Sus scrofa: one gene and its partner. The protein of the gene in region 2 purifies or fractionates together with the protein of the main gene of each other region. This does not show direct contact. Links are inferred from orthologs where the notes say so. Each region holds a gene or a part of one and is shown on either strand. Other genes may lie near its edges.

Evidence for each region.
Region 1: the proteins of GXYLT1 (region 2) and CANX purify together in Homo sapiens (affinity purification with mass spectrometry; 3 studies listed by BioGRID and IntAct, counting the BioPlex papers as one, with this or other methods). This does not show direct contact. The link is inferred for Sus scrofa from reciprocal best matches to the Homo sapiens genes GXYLT1 and CANX.

What each region holds. Positions count from the first base shown.
Region 1 is NC_010444.4:78,913,512-78,917,423, forward strand, and holds the start of CANX (calnexin), read right to left. Parts: upstream 2,314-3,912; 5' UTR 2,135-2,313; intron 1-2,134. UniProt on the Homo sapiens protein: Calcium-binding protein that interacts with newly synthesized monoglucosylated glycoproteins in the endoplasmic reticulum. It may act in assisting protein assembly and/or in the retention within the ER of unassembled protein subunits.
Region 2 is NC_010447.5:73,405,296-73,409,125, forward strand, and holds the start of GXYLT1 (glucoside xylosyltransferase 1), read right to left. Parts: upstream 3,065-3,830; 5' UTR 2,934-3,064; coding exon 2,713-2,933; intron 1-2,712. UniProt on the Homo sapiens protein: Glycosyltransferase which elongates the O-linked glucose attached to EGF-like repeats in the extracellular domain of Notch proteins by catalyzing the addition of xylose.

The DNA of each region.
Region 1 (3,912 bases), on a different chromosome or scaffold from region 2:
TAGGAACCATGAGGTTGCGGGTTCGGTCCCTGGCCTTGCTCAGTGGGTTAACGATCCGGCGTTGCCGTGAGCTGTGGTGTAGGTTGCAGACGCGGCTCAGATCCCGCGTTGCCCCGCATTGCTGTGGCTCTGGCGTAGGCCAGTGGCTACAGCTCTGATTAGACCCCTAGCCTGGGAACCTCCATATGCCGAGGGAGTGGCCCAAAGAAATAGCAAAAAGACAAAAAACAAAACAAACAAAAAAAAAACAAAGTAGTTTCATGTTCACCATCTTACTTGTCCCTCCTAAAAAGCCCCCTAATGGTAAGGTAGGTAGTCAGAGGATTCCTCACTCCAATTTTAAAGACATAGAAACCAACTTAGCTCATAAGCTAGTTACCATGCTGGGCCTGGAATTCAAGTCTCTTGAGTCTGCATTTATGCTTACCAACTGTCGCTTCGTTCCCTTAAGCTATCTCTCAGGGCAAAGTGAACTCTGTAACTGAAAGGATGCAATAGCAGGATTGCCAAAACTGCAGCAACAACTTCTGTCAAAACGTTTACTCTTTGGAAGATAATGTGTTAGCTGAAACTGTTAAGGAGAGATAGTCAAGTAGGAAGGGATGCTGACACCCATTATCGGATAGGTCAGAAAATCTGCGGTGCAACACATTTACTCCAATACACAGCTCACTGTAGCCACCTCATGATCCAGTTTCCTGGCTTGTTTGCTTGTGCACACAGACTGGTGCACAGGAGGACTCCCACACAGTGCTTTACCTCTGCTCTAACTACAGCAAATATACAACTCAGCAGTGACCCTTCAACAGTACTGAAAAAAGAGTGAGGTACACAACAGTCTTGAAGATCAACGGGGTTCCCCTCTTAAAACAAAACAAAACAGAACGAAAACCTCCCCACACCATTCTACCCATTAAGAAATTAAGTAAAAGGTTCTATTTCTTAAATTAGAGGTAAAGAGACCTAACTGTGGTTCACCTTTCTCCTCCCAAGCTTTTAATTAATATCCAGCTCAGTTTAACTTCCCTCAATCAGCAGTCAAACCACTAGGTCCAGTTTCTTCCTCCTATTTCCATAAATGTGACTTCAGGTCCTGGAAAATAGGACTTAGCTAATTAGGATGTTAGTGTAGTGGATCAACAGCATTCACCATAATAATTTACTGCAGTCATTTATCAAGCAGTTAAAAATGTACATCTAACTTTCCTGCTCTTTCTTACACACGTCTTAATGGTAACAACAACTCTATCAGGTATTACATCCATTATCTGAAACGAAGTGAACTGCCCAGGTTCACATAGCAACAAATGGCTGATGAAGGACCTGAACAAGGGCCTTAGTCTTAACCACTACACACAAACTGCCTAGCTTTCAACTGTAATTCCAACGTGATCATAAAACTAATCGCATGACCTTGGGCCGATCATTTCTGAGCTCTGGGCCTCAGTTTCCTTCACTATAAAACGACCTGCCCACGGAGAGCTTTTGGGTGCTTTCCTGCTTTTAAAAGCCCACTGAATTTACGACGAGATTACTTACTCCCCCAATCTCCAAATAGATGTAAATGTTAGGACTTAAGTTTTTTAACCAGTGCGTGTTCTAGCACATTCTCCATACTCTTCAGGCTGCTACAGTCCAGTCTTCACTTTGCGGTTTTAATTTTCAAATTTTAGATCTGTAATGCTAATTCTAAATATCCTCTCTCTGTCCTATTATCACCTTTCCCCACTACTAAGAGTACCAACAAGGCCCGATCCTATTCCAGACCTTTACCCGGTTACTCTACCCCACCTCACAGCTTCCCAGGCAGTCAGCAATAGGTATAAGAAAGCCCTAGAAGCAGAACCATGAAGAGAAGTTAGCTTTCCCAGAGGTCAAGAAAGGCTCTAGGACACCTGCCACGCCTCCCAACCCCGGCGGCGCGGCCTGGGCCTGGCTCCGCAACTCAAGCGGCCCAGGTTCAGGCCTAACCCATCCCGTCTGGCGGGTCCACCAGGGCCTGAGCCATCGAAACTCAGCCGGACCCCTCAGCCCCGGCCACGCCCGGCTTCTCGAGACCTCCGCCGCCAGGCCGCGCACCCAGGCCCCCGAGGGTCCTCACAGGCCCGAAGACACGGGCAGGCCCCTGTCTCACCTCAAGCCTCAGGAGGACCGCCGGTGGTGCCCGCGCCTCCTCCCGCCCGCACACCTGGCCCCACGCTGCAGTGGAGACAGCGGCTGAGGGAGCCTGACCGTCACGTGCCGCAGAACCAAGAGGCCTCGACTCCTGCAGCCGCCGCGCGAGCGAGCCCCACCGCACGAAGCCCGGCCCTGCGTCCGCCCCTGTCTCCTCAGTAGCTACCACCAGCGCCAAGTCCCGCCCTCTCGCGCAAGATCCTGAATTCAATTGGTTATTGTGGCCATCGCTCTATGCACCTTCCCATACGCCCCCTAGGGCTATTCTTCGTGGAGTGTGGGGATTGGTTAGGAGTGAGGCAGGAAGTGGCTGTTGGTTGGGCAGTATGGAAGGAGGCGGTGTACGGCGGCATCGGGATCGGCGGGGGCGCGCGCGCGCGCGCGCGCGTCGTGGGGCGGGACTGGCCAGGCAGGCGTTCCCGCGCTGGTTGTTCTGGTGCCTTAGTGGGCGCGCTGCCCGGCACTGCATCCTAATTTCTATGGTTTCGACCGTTCAGGTGCCTGGACCCGGGCCTCGGGGTCTGGCATCTCATTCCCTTCGATGAGAGAGCAAATGGAAGCTGGCAGGATGGGTGGGAGGTCCATTGAGCCATCGGGAAGGACCTGGTTTCCAGTGCAGCGAGTGCGCAGATATGATGGAATCAGTCACGGCTCCCTTGGCCTGTCCTGGAGTCGCTGTACACCAGGCGCCACCGTTCCTGCAGAGTCATTGCTCTGGGCCCAGCAGTCTGAGGCCGCCTTATCACCCAACGTCAAAATATAGCCCAGAATACTATAATCCAGCGTTACTTCAACTTTCAATTTGTGATGTTTCCAAAAGCAAGATAAGACAAAAAGGGCACAATCACACTTAACAGCAGTGAGTGAGAAAAAGATGGTGCAATGGAAAATTTTCAAACACACCACAGATTTTGTAACTAACTTTTAGCACATCTTCAGTTTTCTGGGCCTGAGACAGAGCAGGACTGTAGATCCTACTAAGGATCTTGTTAGAGATTTTTTTTCCGTTAAAGCACAATGTTCTTAAAAGGAAGCTGAGGCCAAATCTCTGAAGAATGAATTTTGTGTTTGTTTTTTTCACAATTTGAAGTCACTTTATTTACTGACCCAGATTACAAAAATAATCACATAGACAACTCAGTTCATCCATTTAATAAGCCTGTTAGATCTATTTATCTGGGCCCTTCAGGAGAAGATAGTTTGAAGGGCCACAGGATGTTGTTTGCTTCTTTGAAGCATTTTCCAACAGTACGGATTTCATGAATAAGATCCTCCAGGAGTTACTATTGTGGCTTAGTGAATTAAGAACCTAACATAGTGTCTGTGAGGATGCGGATTCAATCCCTGGCCTTGCTCAGTGGGTTAAGGATCCATCCTAAGCTTAGGCGTAGGTCACAAATGTGGCTGCAATCCCATGGGTTTTTTTGTTGTTGTTGTTTTTGTTTTTTTCATTTTTCTTATTACTCAAATGAATTTATCACATCTGCAATCCCATGTTGCTGTGGCGGTGGTGTAGGCCAGCAGCTGCAGCTCTGATTCAACCCCTAGCCTGGGAACTTCCATATGCCACATATGTGGGCCTAAAAAAAACAAAAACAAAAAAAAAGGGGGAGGGAGGGGGAGAAAGAAAGAAAAGAGGAAAAAAAAAAAAAAAAGGTAAGATCCTGCATGATGGCTTATTTACCAAGAGATGGAGCAGTCCAAGTGTTATCTGTCAGGGCAGTTTCCTTCTTGTTG
Region 2 (3,830 bases):
AAGTCAGTTTTAATGGATTTTCATGATTAACAACTATATGATTAACTACTATAAGTTAATTAAGGTAAATATAATCCACATTTAACAGATGAGAAAAGTGAAACAGAAAAGCAGTCAAGGTTTCACAGCAAACAGAGCCATAATGAGACCACGTGTTTGTCTGACTCTAAGATCTACCCATTTTCTGAATACCAAAATAAGGGATTCAGACAAAATGAACTAATTAATTATAAATTTCACTGAAAAGTTGTTCCCATCATTTCTGTGTTTTTACTTTGAGAACTTGGAAGGACATTTCTAAGTATTTTGTTGTTTCTCTTAAGATTTGACCAACGGAACCTACTGGGTATAATCCTAATCCCACGTTTAAATGAGAGAAATAATAGTTTTAATCTTTGAGGTAAGACTGCTTCCAAAAAAAGTAAGAATGCAGGAGTTCCCCTCGTGGCGCAGTGGTTAACGAATCTGACTAGGAACCATGAGGTTGTGGGTTCGATCCCTGCCCTTGCTCAGTGGGTTAAGGATCTGGCGTTGCCATGAGCTGTGGTATAGGTCGCAGACTCATCTCAGATCCCGTGTTGCTGTGGCTGTGGTGTAGGCTGGTGGCTACAGCTCCAACTAGACTCCTAGCCTGGGACCCTCCATATGCCACAGGTGCGGCCCTAGAAAAGGCAAAATGACAAAAAAAAAAAAAAGAATGCAATGATAATCGAGTCCTACAAAAAAAGGAAGATGTTGCTTGTCTCATAGTCCCATTTTCTACTGATGAAACACTATCTAGACTAGGTTCTTATCCCTGCAGCTTTAGAGGAAGAGCACCTGCAGAGCAATCAAAGGATACATGGTTTTAACCTGGTCCAGTTATGATGCCCTCTGCACCTTGGTCAATGATTTACACACAGGAAAAGAGGCTAAGAATACCTACTCCATCCATACCCCATGGTGGCCAAAAAAGTTGACTAAACTCTATGAGAAATCTAAAAAGAGGTTAAAAATGATAATATCTAAAATGAAAAGAGTCCTGATGTCTTAGGAATTCTGCCGACTTCAATGAATTCATAGGGTAAAAACATGACAGTTCAGCCTTTCCAGGTTGCTCCTCTGCCCAAACTTCTCCTTATACATGCATATATTTTGTAAAGAATGATACACCTTCAATTTTAGCTTAAATGCTGGCCTCATTTAAAACGAGGAGTTATGCTGCTCAGAAGAAAAACAGCTTTCTGGCTGACTGGACTCTGAGACATCAAACTTAAGATTCCAGAAATGGCGCTACAAAATATTTATTAAAACTGAGGTGTTTATTTCCTGAATTTTAAATAATGCAACTTTGTTAAAATTAGCTGGCCAGGCACATATAGCTTATAAAAATTAGTCACAAAATAATATATAAGTATCTAAGGCAGGCACTAAAAGTGAATGTTACCCTATCAAGTCGAAATGAGTCCAATTTCACTCAATGTTTTGATTAAAATGTTGCTTCCTTATAATTCTACCCAATGCAAAAATAGTTCCTTCCCCATAACTTTAAATGCTTCACTCCAGCGTAATAGACCATGACCAGCTTTTCATGAGTTTATCCAGATCTTCAGTTATTGCCTCTCCCAGGACAGATAACTGAGCGTTCACAAACCTGGCTCTGGAAGTAGTTCTGCTTTTATGAACAAAGTCCTGACTGTAATCAAACCCCTGGGTGAAATCATGACAATCCAGCTTTTCCATGGGCTCTGCTCCTCTGTTCAAACGTCCCCTTTCATTTTGGGAATGACCATCAACTCTCAGAAGAATGTTAAACAGCCTACAGCTGACCTGCACTCCTCCAACCAACCCGATACTCTCCAATATCAAAGCAGCTTTTGCCTCTTGTTAAGGGAGCTCTCCCGAGTAAGAGAGGCGCCTCTTTTTCAAGGAAGTGGAAACGCTCAGATTTGGTTAAGCATTCGTAATGCGCTGCATTCTTTTTTTCGCTTAAATCTCACGTTGATTTCAACGCTGGCAGTGATTTGCGTAAATCCACTTAAGTCACTATGCTGCTTTTTAAACTCCGATTCTTAAAGAAAGCCACCTCTATCCCAACTCACAAAGGACGTGAGCTTAAGTATCGCTTATTTTTCTTAACTCGCTATAAGTTTCACAATAGACCGATTGTTTCCTAAAGAAAAATTCACAATCCTTATAAAATGCTCTGTCCAGATTTAACTAACCGGCTAATGAAAAATGTAAGCGTTAACAAGAAAATGAGACGTCCCATTCAGGAGGGGGTGGAAACTGAACTAGGGAGTCAGCCCGATGTTTAAATATCTCAACTTGAACGCCATGGAAACAAGAGGGAATTCCCACTAGCCAAACAGCAAGAGGCTTTTGTAGGACCCTCTAATTTTCAATGACTCCTAAGAAGGTGGGGGGGAGATGCAACTATCATTTAAAAGTTGAAAATTAATTTCTAACTGCTTTGAATAGTGCATAACCAATGGGTAAGAAGACAAACACAAAAAGCGTGGGTGCTTTCAGGCTGGAGTAGCGCCAGGCTCACCCCCAGGGTGAGGGGAAGGAGGGAAACGAGCAAAGGGGGTCAGAGTCGGCAGCAAAGAAGCGGGAGACGCGGGCCCGGTGGCGGGAGGCGCGGGACGGCCCCTCGTGCAGCCCCGGCCAAATCGAGACCCGCGACTCGGCGCCCCTCGCCCCAGCCCCCCGACAGGGAACCGCTCGTACCTGTCCGACCGGCCGGGATGCGCCGCCTGGCCCGCGCTGCCCGCCCCTCTTGCGGCGCCGCGCCCGCCGCCCCCGAGCCAGGAAGCCGCTGCGGCCTGCGGCTTCCCGCCACCGCCGCCCGCACCTTCCTCCAGGGACACGGCGAGCTGGCTGAAGGCGTAGAGGAGCGAGCAGAAGCCGCAGGCCAGGCACAGTACCACGAGGCGCAGGTAGCGCCGCATCCCGTCGGGCCCGCGCCGCCACCTCCGCCGTCGCCGCCGCGCCCGCTCGGGCGAACTGGAGCGGAGGGAGCAGCACCGCGCAGCCGCGGGCGCAACAGTTCCTCCTCCGCTGCGGCCTCGCGCCCTCCCCCTTCCTTCTTCCCTCCCCGCCCACCACCTTAGCGAGCGCGCTAACACCCCGCCCCGGAGCCCCGATACTGCCTCCGCCCCGGGCCCCTCCCCAGAGGGCGGGCGGCCAGACGCGCCGGCGCACTGAAAGCGGAGGGCTGGGGGCGCCGGGTGGCTTGGGGCGCGAGGGTTGCGGCTCGCGCAGGGTCCCGGGGTAGTGCAACCCTCCCGGCGGGCGAGTCCGCGGAACCTTGCGGCTCCCAACTGTGGAGGAGAGGTGCAGCGAAACTAGCAGAGCGTTGGAAGCAGCTGACCCAAATTCTAATTATGGTTCTTCCACATGGTAGCTTGGGATGTTGAGCAACCTCAATTTTCCGAGCATGTTTGATCGTCTCTAAAATGGAGAGGATATCCTCATCTTAGGGTGGTTTTAAAGATTAAAGTGCTTAACGCATGATAAACACCTTGGACTGAGAAGGCTCGTCATTAAGTTTTTTGTTTTTTTGGTCTTTTGGGGGCTATGCCTACGTCATTTGGAGGTTCCCAGGCTAGGGGGTCCAATCGGAGGTACTGCTGCCGGCCCGCGCCGCAGCCACAGCAACGCTGGATCCGAGCCGCCTCTGCAACCTGCACCACAGCTCAGGGCATCACTGGATCCTCAGCCCACTGAGTGATGCCAGGGATCGTACACGCGTCCTCAGGGATGCTAGTTGGGTTCCCTAACCGCTGAGCCACGATGCGAACTCTGCATTAAGCCATTTTTTAAGCTCCATCCTCCACAAGCGTTGT